Linked DNA regions of Saccharomyces cerevisiae S288C. Changing the gene in region 4 together with the main gene of any one other region gives a genetic interaction. Each region holds a gene or a part of one and is shown on either strand. Other genes may lie near its edges. The genes, in order: DSE1, WHI2, PIR5 and KIN82.

Region 1 (4,257 bases), on a different chromosome or scaffold from region 4:
TTAAGAATATCCAAAATAATATGTAATTTATGATTAATCAAGGTTCAAGAATTGGAGAAACCGTGAGCGACTTCTTTGATACTTGGATGTAAGCTTTTATTTAGTTGCTTTTTCGTTTTCTTTTATTTACGCCCTTGTTTTGCGTGTATACTTTACTTTTCTAATTCACTTGAGAGCGGGACTATATATAAAAAAATGCACAATTACAAACTTGAGAATGAATGCATATCGTGAAGATTTTGATATTAAATTAAGAAGCCAAAAAAACGTAGGCAACCATAACAAATTTCGGCATTGAACTTGATTCTAAATGCTACATACAATTACGCGCGCTGTTTTGATATACACACACATATATATATATATACATTGTGTAAGAAAAATTCAAAGCTTAGTAAAACATACAGATCATGGAGAAAAAAAAAAAACCGAATACTTGTGTTACCAGAAGGATCCACTGACTGGACTTGGGTCACAATTTGAATTTTATTGATTTTCACCTTCATCAAGGAGGATGGTCGTTAGTAATAAAGGGCATTCTGAGTGACAGACAAAGAAATTATCTTCAAAGAAATGTTACTTTGATTCATTGATATGTTATTTGTTTTTATTTGAAAGCACTCAAGGAAACTAGACAACAGTAGTATCAATAGTAGATCCACTTAAATGCACATCATTTACAGAATACATCCTCTTTGTGAAGACGATATCCTCTTGGTCATCATTCAATCTACCTTCGCTAACAGTATTTGCTGAAGAACAATCCCAATTACCAGAATTTGAGAACATATCATCAGATGTTTCTGTCATACTATGGTCACTCTCATTGGATAATGATAACATAGAAGAATCAGATATTCCACTCTTCCCAGTACCATTACCATCGATTATTTTACCGGTATCGACATTGAATTGAACTTGACAAATTTGATGTAATCCCAGTTCACAAAAATTGTCAAGAGTTACTAAACTTCCATCGTTTGCCATATCAAGGAATAAAAATCCACATCCTTTTCCATTGGCCTTAGTGTCATTGCTCTTCAAGCAAATATTTTTATCACTCATACCACTCACAATAATGTTTCCACATTGGAAGACTTGCTTGGTTAATAGTAGTTCACTTTCACTATCTAGGCTAATTGAGTTAAATCCATGGACTAACTCACCATATTTCATGTTTTGTAGGTTTTGTAAATCCCAACAAATGACAAAGCCTTGGTCATCACTGCTATATAACGCGCCTGTGTTTTCGTTAAATTTTAGACTTTCAATGTATCCTTTCTTAGCATATAATTCACAAACTGGTTTACCGTCGCAGGATTGAATGTCCCAAATTTGAATTTTATCGTTCAAGCTCTGTGCAACGTGATGATTACTTATCCATACGCAATCCAAACTTGTGTTCTTTCTTTGCAAATGGTCTTTTCCACATCCTGCAGATATGCTATTATCTAAAATATCTGGAATATAGAGATTTGTTCTCAAATCAAGCAGCGAGATGCCATTTGGTCCAAATTTTGAGCCAACTAAGGCCAGTAAGAAGGGATCATGGAATTCATTAACGGCAAAAGAATTTATACCTGGATATGATTGCAAAAAAATAGGTGTTTTTATGCAATCAAGATTTGATTTCAAGTCATATATAAAGAGGGAGTCATTTAGAAGGGAAACAAAACCGGTCTTGTTCCATGGCGAAACCTTCAAAATAGGTGCTGTTTTTGGCGTTATTTCCAGAATCGGAATCGACGTTGATACGGTAGATTTTAGAAACTTGTTGTGGTTAAACCTTTTTATTATTTTAGCACATCCCTTATATGTTGAAGTTGCTATCAGATTGACTATACCGTCTTGATGACCTGTCAATATTAATTGGTTGTGGTTAGGATTTATTTGAGAGCTGGGGAAAATCTGTGGCGGAAAATCTACCATGGGCAATAAGCAGATACAAGTAATGGGTTTACCGGGAACAGTAATCGTCTGTAGTTCCTTCAGCTTTTTCTCAGCGGAAATTTCAAAAAGTTTCAAGTTGTCTTTCTCGTTCATTGTAGATACTAGAAGTATATTATCCACAATGGACATGTCTGAAGGTATGGATAACTCACTTTCATCAACACCGTACAGTTTCCAATAATCTGATTTTAATTTTTTAGTTGTATAATAGTCATTGAAGTTGTCTGATGCTTTTCGCAAAATCGGTGAATTCATTTTCGAAGTATTGTTTTGCCACGTTTTTTTGTATGTGGATAAAGTCATCATCGATTGTAAAATCCTCTTTTTATCTGATCTCTTCTTTATATTAATAGCAGGCTGACGAAAAATATTTGTTGGTTCGTAGTATTTGGTATCTTGCATAATATTAATACGTGTCACTCTCACTATCACACCTACAATCAAATTTTTTAGCAAACACAGATTAAAATTTGGAAGTCATGCAAGAAGAAGAAGCCAAAAGATAGTTTGAGGAAAGCTTGGGAGAGATATTTCTACCTTTTTATATATTGTAAAACGTTTACGCACTTATTTATGTAAACCAGTAAGCACCCACCCAGCTATGTCGTCATGACTACAAATTGGTTATGAACCAAGCCTTATTCAGTAAACCAGCAAATTTAACATCATGCCGGCATTGAATCATACATAGAAATCAACACAATAGCTTTGAGAACTGAGAATGTAGCTTTGACGCTGCTATTATTATTTGGTATTGTTTACCTTTTAATGTTTATTTGTTTAGAAAACAGACTGCTGGTTTGTTTACATTTGAGAGCAGAAAAAAAAAATTGCTGGCGCAGACCAGCCGCACAGTCACGTGACAGTATACGATCATGTGATCTTACGTACATAATGACATTATACGAGAAAGGGGAAAAAACAAAAATTTAGTGGAAATTTTTGGTAAAGACCAAATTGCAGTGATCTTCATGGTGAAAGGTAATATTTTTTGCTGGCGGGGGAGGGGGCTTCTATCTCGACAATTAAAAGACATACGCTTAACCATTTTTAGGGTACTCGAGTATCGCATCTGCTAATTGATAAAAGGACTTTGTTGTGTTTTGAGGCTGTTTTCCATTTTCTTCGTTAGAGCTACAAGAGTCGACTTTTTCGTTAAACAAAAACGATTATAAGATAATAAGCGCTGTCAGTTTTTTCCACAGTTTTGGACTTGTTACTATAATTCGTGAAGCACATTTTGCAAGTGAGTCAAAATTTCAGTTCAGTCCTTCTTTAGAAGAGTGAGTGCGTAGCAAATAAAACAGCAGGAAATAATTGCTTGTTTTTGTGTGTAAGTACCTTTTAGTTGGAACTACCGAATATAGTGTTATTCGACTTTCACTTTCATAAGCCACAGCTTTTTCTTAGTGCGTTTTTAGTTCGATAAATTTACCAAAAACTATTTTCCCCTTTTCTTATTCCCTTTTCTTTGTTAGCTTGGGTATTATATTTAAAGTAACAGAAAGGAAAGAAAAAAGAAAAAAAATGCCTTCATCCATATCCGTCAAGTTAGTGGCTGCAGAGTCATTATATAAGAGGGACGTATTCCGTTCCCCGGATCCGTTTGCTGTTCTGACTATTGATGGTTACCAAACCAAATCTACATCCGCAGCGAAGAAAACGTTAAATCCCTACTGGAATGAGACTTTCAAATTCGACGATATCAATGAAAATTCTATTTTAACCATCCAAGTCTTTGATCAAAAGAAATTTAAAAAGAAGGATCAAGGGTTTCTTGGCGTGGTTAACGTCCGCGTGGGTGATGTTTTGGGCCATTTGGATGAAGATACTGCTACATCGAGTGGTAGACCTCGCGAAGAAACTATTACTCGTGATTTAAAAAAATCTAATGACGGAATGGCCGTCAGCGGTAGGTTGATTGTTGTTTTATCAAAACTACCTTCGTCAAGTCCGCATTCACAAGCTCCTTCTGGCCATACTGCATCTTCTAGTACGAATACAAGTTCAACTACTCGAACAAATGGTCATTCTACTTCCTCCACCCGTAATCATTCAACGTCTCATCCTTCCAGAGGCACCGCGCAAGCAGTAGAATCAACTCTTCAAAGCGGTACAACAGCTGCTACTAATACGGCAACAACCAGTCACCGTTCCACCAATTCCACATCCAGTGCTACCAGACAATACTCTTCGTTTGAAGACCAGTATGGTCGTTTACCCCCTGGTTGGGAGAGAAGGACCGATAACTTTGGTCGTACATATTACGTCGATCATAACACAAGGACTACCACTTGGAAACGTCCA
Region 2 (4,109 bases), on a different chromosome or scaffold from region 4:
AACTATTTCCAACGCCTCTATCATGATTGTCGAAAAAAAGGTCCTGATTCCTTAATGTTTTATAATTTTTATCTGATAAATGGATCTTGTTTCCTGTAATAATGGGTTACCAAAAGTTTTTTATAAGAATATTTAGCTTTACCAGACTAGTATACATCAACAGACAATCACACTCCCTTAAGATGTTTTTCAACAGCAAATTAAAAGGAGACCCTGATTCTTAATAATACAGATATACGGTGTATAATGATGTTGCAGACTCGTGATCACAGTTTACTGAAATTAAGAAAAAATGACGAACTAACGAAATCCAGACGTGAGTCAGAATAATTATAACAATAAAAAAAAAAAAAAATTTCTATTGTTTTATACCGGATCAATGCTGCTTTTGAGTGATATTTTTCGAACAATGTACGACTTTATTATGCGGGTAACTTTGAAATAGACAATGGAAAAACCGTTATTTGCAGAAGGGGATGGGAAGATACGAAGAGAAATATCTAGCAGTCTTCGACGCCACCTTTTTTCCTTCTTCATGTGCTTTGAGACAGTTCATATAATTTTGTTATAGAGATACAAATATACATCATTTCGTAACAAGGGAGGAATAGAAAGAGGGGATACCAAGAAACCATACTGTTACATATTGTGTCTTTGGCCCGATCTCTTTCCATTTCTTTCTCTAATATATTATATACACTCACTGCACCCCAATAACGCTCAACTCTAAAGTCCAAACTCTACGAATATGTAATCGGACGGGTACAATGATTTTATGTAGTTCTGCTTCAGGATCAACGTTTGTTGGCAAGATCAATTCAATGATTTTCTTTGATTCATCTTTCCAAGAGCCGAAGACTTCCACTTCTAGCTCTATGTCTTCTTCACCCCACCAACATTTACGAGCAGGTTTTCTCCAAAATAATAGTAGCTTAGCGTTGATATTAGGTTTTGGCACTAGATCATACAATTTGGGCAACTCCGGAGGTTTACTTCTGGTCTGCGAACTATGTCTCGAGGAAGAGTGCGAACGAACGTTATCTGCTAGTTTCGACAGCCTTGATTTTCTCTTATCACGTGCTGTAGCAGGTGCTGTACTTCCGCTTGTTAAATTCCTTGCTGTAGAAATGGTACTGTTAGATTTACTTGCAGATAAAGAGTTAATCGATATGTTAGATTGCATTGGGGTGATGAAGTTGTCTTGAGAAGGTTTGTGCTCTGCCTCCCACTTAGCCTTAGCCTCGTTAAATTTTTGCCTAAATCCTTCAGTTGTCTCGTTAGCCAATCGGCAAAGAGACAGTGAACTTATAACCGTTTTGCCAGTTTCTTGAGTTCTGTTACCCCAACAAGTTTCCTTGGTGAATCCGGAGGAGCACAACATATCCATTAAATGTTGTTCAGCAGGTCCCAATTTTTTCGAAGTAGATTTAGTATTTGAAGAAGAATTGGACCCCTTTTCAATTTTCTGTTGTTGCTGTTGTTGCTTTAGTCTATTCGAAGAATACAAACCTTGGAAAATCGATGTTTTTGAAGTTAAATAACTGCCAGCAGCCATTTTCACTTGAGCCATAAAATGTCGCAATAAATCCTCATTATTTTCTTCATTAGTGGAATCAAACTGAAATTCCTCCTGAGGTACACAATAATAATCCAAGTCTTCTCTCAAAACAATAATAGCGGGCTTTTGATGTAAAATATCCTGCTCATTGTTGCTCGAAATTGAATTATTGCTACTCAGTCCAAAAAATCCCTTTGCATTCGAAACAAAGCTACTTGATGGTCTGTCAAAAAATTTCTCCACAGGATGATTATACAAATCATCATGCGCTTTTGTATATATCTCCATGATGTACTCAAAACAATCAGGAGGGAAATTAACAATGTAGACCTCATCGTCTCTGGTCAAATTAGTAATGACCTGACCACAACGGTCCAAAAAAACACCTGAGGGAAATAAACACAGTAATAGGGATTCAGGTAGAGACATCAACTGGTCCCTCGTAATGAAATAATGGTTTTCTTGAATATTCAAATGAATCAATGAATCACCATAATCCTCCTCGTTACCTTCGTACTGTGAGTTCTGTTGCTGTTGCTGTTCTTGTAGAATCGGAGCGGACTCTGCATTATCTGGAGAAACTTGCGTGATTATATCGTCCATTGTTTATAATAAGTGTAAGCTCAGACAACCTTTATCTTTATCAATTAATGGGGAGGCGGGAAAATTAATAGCCTAAGTGTGAAGGAGTTGTCTTCTTGCGCTTTCTGTTCTTTTCCGAATAAAAAAACAATTAAATTATCACTGGAGAAAATGCTTCTCAATTAAAAAAATCACTAAATAACGTTGTTTCTCTTTTCCCTTATTTTTAATGGGATAAACGTTCTAACAAAACTTTTTTTGTCTTCTAAATTTGGATCCTTATCTTCTTATGACCTTTGGGGGGAGAAAAGAAAAAAATGACTCTAAACTGACGCCGAGTTAGAGACTCTCTCACACTCTATCACTATGCCTATGCTGTAAACTTAAAACAACGATAGACCGTTTTTTGTCTTACTTTCCTCCTTAGTAATTATTACTCTAGAGCATAAGAAATTGGCCATTGAACATGGCCCGTTCTGACTAAAATCTTCTCTTCCTGATAAAATTTGCTTTTTTTATTTTGAATTGCCCTCCTTCGGGTCGTTTGGAAAAAACACCCAAACACCTCTTACATACAAGATTTGCAACGTTTTGATAAGTAAGTACATTATGCAGAGGTTATGTTTTTTCTTGACCGTCAAAACACTGTTCATGCATGCTAGCGCTGTCGATATAAAATCGGGATTTTCATACACCCATCAGGTTGGTTGAATTCTTTCTTTAACTCTTACTCATCTTTCTTTATTTTCCGGATATAGCACGTAACCTATCATTTTTTTTTCTTAAGGTTGCCTTTGCCGTTCTTCGCACTATAAAAAAGCACGCTTATGAAAATTTTTAATTACTTGACTTTTTAAATCTGTCATTGAAATTTAGATGATATGCAAAACACATTACGAAAATGTCAATTGGAGTTTTAAAGAACTCATGTTGCTGTTACAATACGTAGAATGGTCAGAAGTGTGCTGATGCATATACTTTGAAGTGTCAAAGTGTCTGAACGGGTGCCGTAAAAGACCTATTCTTTTTTATGATGAATTTATGTTTTCAATCTTATCTACATTATCTGAATTAATAGCTAACAATAGTTATAATGGAAGATATACGACTATCAACAATTCTGAAAATTTTTTCTTACTTCCTTCAAGAAGGTAGTGAGTTCTTCACAAGCGCGTAAAATAAGATGCGTCCAAATATTGGCACGTATACACATGTACGTAGATATCAGCTTTACATCTCGTCGTCACTATTGATTAAGAATTCATCCTCATCCGGATTTTTCTTATTTCTAGAAACAGCGTTTACTTTAGTTGGTGTAGTATCCAGGGGTTCCGGTGGTAGCGGCTGCCATTTCTTCTTCGTTTCTGTATCTGGAGTATCAATGTAGGTTGTCTCTGCCACTACTTTTCCAGTCGACTCACCAGATTTTGTTCTCGTTGGTAACTGAGGTGGCACATCTTCATCATCTTCAAATCCATCTTCGTTGTGTAGTGTGATTCCGTGGCTTTCTAAAGAGTCATCACCGACTTGAACGCCAAACGAATTGAATCTTCTTCTCTCAGGTTGCTGGGGTCTTGAATTTTTCCCGCCTTGTGACAAATCCACAATCTCTGGCTCCCATTCTTGCTGATCTTGGTGACCATGTTGGTTGTCGTTTTGCTCATTACCTGACGCAAAGTTTCTCCGGTAAGCATCACTTATCCAGTTACTAACTTTGTTTGCTGTGTCCTGTAATGACCGACCGGCTCTGTCCGTAAGCTCTGGCAGGTCCTTTTCTACAAATTGCGACCACGAATCTTCTTCCTCACTGTCTTCGTGATGTTGCTCCCTTTCGTTCGGATTATGACGTCTTCTGCGCTGTTCATGCATGCTTCTAGTTGCGCGATCACGATTACGACGACGGGAATGTGAGCTGTTGAATTGCTCATCTAATTGCCGTGCCAATAATTCGTCTTGTTCTAATTGAGTT
Region 3 (3,262 bases), on a different chromosome or scaffold from region 4:
GTTACGTCACAACTCACAATTCACCAAGTTTTCAGGCACATCGCCCAATCTTGGCTCAAAACCTTTATTTTCGAAGGGTAATTTGTACACTAGTCTTTTAGTGACAACACTGTATGGGACAGGTCTGGCATGCCTATATCTAGAATCAAATAGCTTGAATAAGTCCAAAGAGCAAGAAGATCCCCATGCCATCGCAGAAGACGACATTGTAAATATAGTCCATGACGCTCCCAATAGAATATTCAAGCCAGCACTTGATACCTATCAAGAGAAAGAGCTTGACTTACAAAAGAGTGACCTCCATAAAGTACTTCATTCTTTGACGTACAGTGATGTCTCTCAATTTTCGATTGTTTGGGGGTTTCTCATTCAACTTTCGAGCCTAATAGGCAATTCCACCTTAGGCAAAAAATCCATTCTTTATAAGGGAAGTGTCGTTAGTGTTTTAGGGTTCCCACCGTTGATTTATATGGCACTTAAACTTAGGATGAAACAGCTGGAAAAAGCTGGAGTGCGCTTTGAGTAATGCAGAAGGCAACATCTCCGAAAATAAAAACGATGAAGTAAATGAAAACTCGTTTGTGAATACGTAAAATTATAACGCGCCCCATACATAGTAAGACAGACTTACTTTTATACTATTATTTTAGTTATATTTTTGAAGTACAATCAAGACCTGCAAGATTATAATGTTGGTGATTCAACAATCGACGAGACCAACTGTTTGTAAATGAACGGGATTGCACTGGCCCCCGATAGACTGATCGTAAAGGTTATAGAAAGTGCCCGACAGACATTGGTAAAACACGTCATTATCACCAATAGCTAAAGTGCCATGCTTCGTTATCGACCAGCCGCCAGCGTAAATAGCGCCCGCCTGTGGAGGTGGACCATCAAATTGGAACTGTCTGTTTGCTACTATCGATCCAATTCTACCACTGGAGTCAATAAGAACACCTCCTTGTAACGTTATTGCCAAGGTGCCAGAACTTTTACAGGCTTGCACCTTGATCACTTTTTCATTATTTGGTTTCTTTGTTGGCTCTAACTTACTCTTGGAAAGCACAGAACTACTACTGGCTGAAGAAATAGTAACTTGCACTTGACCATCATGAATCTGAGAAACAGCAGTTGCGGTTGAAGTTGCTGTCGCAGTTACAGTTTTACTTGGAACAGCAATTGTGGACTTTGTGACAACATTTTTAGCTGTAGTTATTTGTAATTGACCATCGCCTATTTGTGACACAATATGTGACACTACTGGAGGCACCTTCTGCGTTGTAACTTGTATTTGGCCGTCTCCAATTTGCGAAACTGGATGAGGTAATTTTTGTGTCGTTACTTGCACTTGACCGTCATTAATTTGTGAAATGACGTTTCTTTTGACCTTACTTTCAGTAACGGTGAAAGGTATAACAGCGAGACCGAATGAGGTCCGGTACTCTGTTGTGCCACCATCCATTTTAGAGCTTGGAGTTAAAGTTGCCCAGGGTTCAGGTGGAGCGTACGCAGTTAGCGCAATACTACTTAATAGAGATGCTAGAAATGCTTTCTTGTAATGCATATTGGGGCGGTGTTCACTTCTTCAGTAAGTTGTATAGAATTAAAAAATCGAGACTAAACAGAAATTTCGAAACAAGAAGATAAGTATATGTATACAAGTTATTTTACTCTTTTAACTGTTTTCGTTTCCCCACTCTTTCGCAAAAAGAATAATTTTGTGAGTCAAAACAGTCGAATTTTCTTGCACAAAAAGTCGATATTCTTTTGTGACTCTGTGTAACTTACTTTCTACAGCTTTTGTTACTCCACTTCTCTTATATATACCCAATGATTCACTCGTAATATATCAGAGGAACGTTAGAATTTCTGTATTTTCTCAGGAATCCTACAAAATTAGAGGTGAAATTGATCAGGTTAAGGAGCAGAAGCCCACTATATAAGTAAGATGATATCAAGCCTAGTTGGATGCCTTCAGGAACGGCAAATAGGATATGTGAGCTTGGCAAAGGGGTTTTGATAGAGTAACAATAGATCCTTGCTAGCCAATGCGACGTTCCTCTGTAGTTTTTACCACAGTTTTACTTAATTTCGTGCTTTGTCCCTTTTTGGCAAAAAAGTCGGATAATGTCTTCACTATATTTGTGTTTTCGTCTTTTAGGAAAAGCGTACTTTAGTAAACTACAAATTTGAGCTGAGCTAATTTCGGATTAGTAAAAGATGCAAGGAACAGTAAAAATTAAAATAGCGATTGACCGAAATCAGTCCAAAAATTACTACAACAAGCAAATCCAATTAAAAACAGTAAAATACTTTAAGTGCATTTACCGTTACGAACAACATATGTCCTAGTTAGTATAGTAGTCTACTAAGTAGCAAAAAAGTAGAAACTCTGTCACTATACCAGCCATCAGTTCATAGTAAAACAGTAAAAATTGTAAAAACAAGCAAAAAAAAAACAAGAAGGAACAAATGCACCAAACTGTTGATCTATTCTGCAAAAAAAAGTATGGTAAATTTTTTCCATTATCCTGGCCGCTAATCCATATGGAGGTGAACTTAGAACTTGCACAAGGATGCGATGAATGATAGGCTTTGTGCTATAATTAATGCAGGCAGGTCCGCCATGTCCAACACGTTGCTGGCCGCAAAACGAGTCAATCTCACTGCTTTGCCACGCTCATTTCTCCCCCCTTCTGCCCAATTAGGCGACCCTCACAATGCACATACACATTTCCCACCTCTATTGGAAGGGGCCGTAAATGGTAATTCTTGGGAGTTATTCATATTAAGTGATCTTACTATTTCCTATTTCGGAAATTATTAAAGACAAAAAAGCTCATTAATGGCTTTCCGTCTGTAGTGATAAGTCGCCAACTCAGCCTAATTTTTCATTTCTTTACCAGATCAGGAAAACTAATAGTACAAATGAGTGTTTTCTCAAGCGGAACACCACATTTTGAGCTAAATTTAGATTTTGGTCAAAATAAGAAAGATCCTAAAAAAGGAATGGTTGGTGAAAAATTTATTAGCTTGAATGGTAGGAATCCTCGAGATATAAAAGGAACACTTGAAGTCTAACGACAATCAATTTCGATTATGTCCTTCCTTTTACCTCAAAGCTCAAAAAAATATCAATAAGAAACTCATATTCCTTTTCTAACCCTAGTACAATAATAATAATATAATGCAATACAAAAAGACTTTGGTTGCCTCTGCTTTGGCCGCTACTACATTGGCCGCCTATGCTCCATCTGAGCCT
Region 4 (4,672 bases):
AGGAATTATCATATGGATTACGTGGAAGAACAAAAAACTGGCGAGGACTGGATGAGTGTAATTTTTCTATATAAGTTAAAAAAGGGATTGACTTATAATAGTTATGGGATGAATGTGGCGAAATTGGCACGCCTGGACAAAGATATTATAAATCGGGCATTCAGTATTTCAGAAGAATTGCGGAAGGAATCCATTAACGAAGACGCGTTGAAATTATTCAGCTCTTTGAAAAGAATATTAAAAAGTGATAATATAACAGCAACGGATAAACTCGCGAAATTACTATCATTGGATATCCACTGATGCGGATGGTACGTATGTTCTAAATGCAGCATTATCAGACAATAAATGATATTATATTTTTCATTCACTTTCTCGTTTTTGAATTGTTCCTTTGTTTATTTGTTTACTTTTAAATAATTTTTTACATTTTTATCATAAGATAAATTGAGAGAAACAATACAGAAATTTGGCCATGGGTTTATCTTTCTGTAAACATGTTATAGTTCAGGTATGATGTCTTTAAAGAAACTTCTATGTGAGCTGTTATGCCTTGGCCTTGTACAAGTTGCTTTGTATAGAATTTTTCCGTAGGTATAATTTTCAGAGTAGGTTAAGATATTGTGATCTTTCTTCGTTAAACTCATAGAATTAAAATCATGGAATGGATCAGCCTCATCAATTTCATCATCGTTTGCAACTTTCTCACAGAACATTTTGGTTTCCTGTTCACTCACTGAGTTCCTTTTCGGGTGTTTATTGCAAGACAATATAAAAGGAAGTTCGCAGCCGTTATCATTTAATGCAGGTATTAGAGGGGGGTCTTGGTTTCTTAAGAACGACCACTGAACTTTTTTGAAGAAGGGATGTCTCTTTATGTCTGCAGCTCCTGATTTGGAACCAAGCCTTTTTGCCTCGTTTTTGTTTAGTAGTTTCTTTATCAGGTCTTTACAATTCTTCGAAACTTCCTTATCATGTGGAAATTTGACGTCCTTGGTTAAAATGTTAGAGAATGTTTCATTTGAATTATCTCCTTTAAATGGAGTACAGCCAAATAGCATCTCGTAAATCAATATTCCTAAAGTCCACCAGTCTACTGCTGCAGTGTGGCCATTCCCTCTGATTACTTCTGGAGCTAAATACTCTTCAGTACCAACAAAGGAATTAGTTCTGAATCCATCTGAACAAATTTTTGTATCTAAATACGTAGAGTCTTTCATGGTGGGTTTTTTTGATCCCGTTGCTTGGATGGATAAATCAAAGTCAGAAAGCATGACATGACCAGATTGATGCAGTAATATGTTTTCGGGTTTCAAATCTCTGTATATGAAGCCCAGTAGGTGTAAATATTCCAAAGCTGCTACTACTTCACTGGCGTAAAACTTCGCATCTTCTTCTGCAATGCATTTACTTTTTCTTGTTTGTAAGGCTCTAAAGAATTCCCCTCCCATGCAGTATTCCATACAGAGATACAAATAGTCTTTGGTTTGAAAGGAATGATACAGTGTCACAATAAATGGATGATCACTTGTCGCGAGAATTTCCTGTTCAGTGAGTACTCGTTTAATTTTCTTCCTCTTGATCATCTCATGTTTATTCAAAACTTTCAGGGCGAATATCTGGTTGGTATCGCGTTCCCTCACTAAATACACTTTACCTACGTCACCTTGGCCAAGTAGTCTAATTTTTTCGAAGGATTGAGGTTCGACAGTAATGTCTTGGAACTTGTTACCGAATGACTTGGTTCTTAAACGACGAGATCTCCTCGGTTCTACAATATCTCCCAAGCTTGGAGGTTGTTTCAAGGCAATGTAATCTTCCCGCATTAACCCATCCTTTGCCGTATTGAACGGTTCGGAAGCGGCCCTCCTTAAACGTGGTGTTATGTTCATAGGTATTTGATCCTTTCTGGTTTCGCTATTTTTCCTTGGGGAATCAATTGGTGAATTGGATAATGACAAGTTAGCCAGGGGGGAGGCACTGCCATTTTCGCTGATTTTTCTATGGAAATTTTGGAGCTCTTCATTTTCGTTAATATCATTCAAAGATCCATTACTCAGGTTTCTACTGTCCTTTGCTATATAACTTGGGGAGCTAGGAGTGTGGAAGGATGACGGGTCTGTGGGCATGTCAAAGGTAAATAACTCCGCGTCCGGAGAAGAGCTACCTGAGATCTCATTAGGTGTGGAGCATATCGCCTCATTGGGTATAAGTGTGCTACTTGTAGTACTATGGACATTTGGCTCACCGATAATGGAACTTTGTAACAGCTCTGTATGTATCGTCGACCGGGGTTCACGCTTATGCGTACCTTTTTCTGAAGTTGACGCATCTGTAGTACCACTGCTCTTTGATCTGTTATGATTAAACATTGATTTGAACTTGTTAAGTTTGGAGCTTGACCAGCTATCGTTGCATTCTACATGCAGGGGAAACGGTATGGGAAGATCTTGCTTGTTTCCATTACAAGCCATATTAATTTGTGAGCTTGGGCTTGCGGACAACGAACAAGAATTGACGTTCAAACAATTGACATTGATGTTTTTGCCAGGAGGTGCATTGTTTTGCAGAGATCTCAAATTACGAGCAAATATTTTGGGTAGCGACATGCTCCTCCCCTTGGATAAGCGTTGTGAGGGGGAACGGTATTCTTGCTGAGTCATGTGTACCAACACTGTTGAACCTTGTTTGCAGTAATCCTTAGGGCACTCAATGAATTCTTGTACGTTTCAAACATACTATAATTAAAGAAGAAGAACTTTCTCTAAAAAAACTGGGGTTATTATGTCTTATGTTACTCCTTGAACAATATAGCTGAAAGAGGGAAAAAGGAAAGTATATTTCCGAAAAAGGATGCCGAAGACGGCGCTATCATAATTATGTGTTTGAGAGGCAGTTCACGGTTACATTCTAGTTCTTCTAGCGTCTGTTGTAGTATGAAAAGTACTTTATTGAATGTCCTTGACATGTTTTCCCAGGATCCAACTTAATGCTCCTCGCACTCATGCATGGGTCGGCCACACTGGAGATAATGATATTTATCTTGATATTCTTTGAAGAGTTGAAGAGCCAGCAGGAGTTTTGGAAGGATGTGACATTCTTAGTGGTTTTGATTTTTTTTTTTCAGTTCTGGCTTGTTCTTTTGTTTCATTGATGACGAAGGATTCGTTGAAGTTGAATGCACACAAAAAAAGCTTGATAACTAGTAATATTTTCTTGGCAGTCACATATATGGAAGGTGAATTTAGAGTAGTTTCCTTATAGCCTAGCGGGCTATTACCTTGTAAATACCACACTATCAATCCTTAAATGTATTGCTAATTGGCTATTAACCTAGATGTTTAGCTATTTATTATCTGTTGTTCGCTTAGCTAGGTACTGCTTTTTATGTTGTATTTTATCGAGAAGTTTAGTGTCGCCAGTTATAAAAAAAAAATTTAAACGTAAAGAAAGGTTATCGACAAATTAACGCAATATTACATGCCCTTTTCACCGTATCATGGTATACACTGGTGCATTAGTAGTAGCATACCTTTGAAAATAAAATGAATAACACTGTGAAGACGTAATGGTGTGTTTAGGCTTCACCATGACCAATTGTAGTATAATTTGCAATTTTATCACTAGGATTGTCACTAGCACATTAAATATATATATTTATATTGGTCCTTATTTTTATGAATTTTTTTTAATCTTAGAATTACGGAGCGTTTATGGCTTCATTGACCAAATAAAATGATTGGGCTGAAAGTTTTGAAATATTTCCATGATTCACTGCGGATGCATCCTATTTACAACAGACAGAAGGAACTGACGTGTTTTTCGTGAATGAATTAGATATATATGTGAAATTATGTTTTTTGTTGTTTGAATTTTTGATTTCGAATTGGATTATTATTCTTTGTTTATCTCATCACTAATTACTTACTGCAAATGTACTTTGCCATAAAAAACTAAAAGATTGATCCTTTTATGCTCAAGCTTTGCTACTATAAGATAATTTAGATGATCTTGGCAGTAAATTTTTTTTTTTTTTTTTTTCAAATTTAGTTCTTCGTTGCCTACATTTTCTTAATTTTGTTTCCATTGCTTGTATCAAAAACTTATGAAATTACAAGCGTCAAGAAGCTGTTTATAAGAAGTAATGAAAAATTTTGAATAAAGACAACTTAACCAATAAAGAAAACCAGGTTGTGTACGATAATGCCGTTATTTTTGGTTCTGAAAGCAACATTATCAGAAAACGTGACCAAGGTTTCAATTGAGAATACAAACGAATCAAGGGCAGAATTTGCCTTCGATCTACAATGTACCAGTTGTAGAGAATTACACGATTCTAAAGTCATCATCAATACATTTGAAGAATATGCTATGCCGGCATCAAAAGGTACCGCATCTTTCTTGATGAAGTGTAAATTTTGTTCAAAAGAATTGTCAGTTAACCTGTGCGCTTTTGAGGATGAATATTTAACTGATCAGAGTGACGACAAATGGGCCAAGATAAAAGATGTGCGGAAGAAGCATGGTTTATCGAAGGTCAAAGAAGATTCTTTCATTCCTTTAAGCCTTGATTGCAGAGGTTGTGAATTAATCAAATTTTATCCCGACACCATAACGTTTGAAGTTTCTCTAAGTTCGGGGAAAGTAATGTCATGCCAACTAGAGGATAATG

The links.
Region 1: mutations in KIN82 (region 4) and DSE1 together harm fitness more than expected from each alone (negative genetic interaction), as found in Saccharomyces cerevisiae (3 studies listed by BioGRID).
Region 2: mutations in KIN82 (region 4) and WHI2 together harm fitness more than expected from each alone (negative genetic interaction), as found in Saccharomyces cerevisiae (3 studies listed by BioGRID).
Region 3: mutations in KIN82 (region 4) and PIR5 together harm fitness more than expected from each alone (negative genetic interaction), as found in Saccharomyces cerevisiae (3 studies listed by BioGRID).

The regions. Positions count from the first base shown.
Region 1 is NC_001137.3:406,712-410,968, forward strand, and holds DSE1 (Dse1p), read right to left. Parts: upstream 2,353-4,257; coding exon 631-2,352; downstream 1-630. Other genes in the region: RSP5 (NEDD4 family E3 ubiquitin-protein ligase), read left to right, coding at 3,478-4,257. UniProt on the Saccharomyces cerevisiae protein: Involved in cell wall metabolism and required for the separation of the mother and daughter cells.
Region 2 is NC_001147.6:408,922-413,030, reverse strand, and holds WHI2 (Whi2p), read right to left. Parts: upstream 2,162-4,109; coding exon 701-2,161; downstream 1-700. Other genes in the region: IRC23 (Irc23p), read right to left, coding at 1-24; ubiquitin-binding protein CUE5, read right to left, coding at 3,371-4,109. UniProt on the Saccharomyces cerevisiae protein: Plays a role in the coordination of growth and proliferation. Required for entry into G0 phase under conditions of carbon limitation.
Region 3 is NC_001142.9:117,262-120,523, forward strand, and holds PIR5 (beta-1,3-glucan linked protein), read right to left. Parts: upstream 1,565-3,262; coding exon 701-1,564; downstream 1-700. Other genes in the region: FMP33 (Fmp33p), read left to right, coding at 1-526; heat shock protein HSP150, read left to right, coding at 3,188-3,262.
Region 4 is NC_001135.5:272,395-277,066, reverse strand, and holds KIN82 (putative serine/threonine protein kinase KIN82), read right to left. Parts: upstream 2,664-4,672; coding exon 501-2,663; downstream 1-500. Other genes in the region: mismatch repair protein MSH3, read left to right, coding at 1-303; YCR090C (uncharacterized protein), read left to right, coding at 4,204-4,672. UniProt on the Saccharomyces cerevisiae protein: Flippase activator that phosphorylates DFN1 and DFN2 and which is involved in the generation of phospholipid asymmetry in membranes by the inward translocation of phospholipids.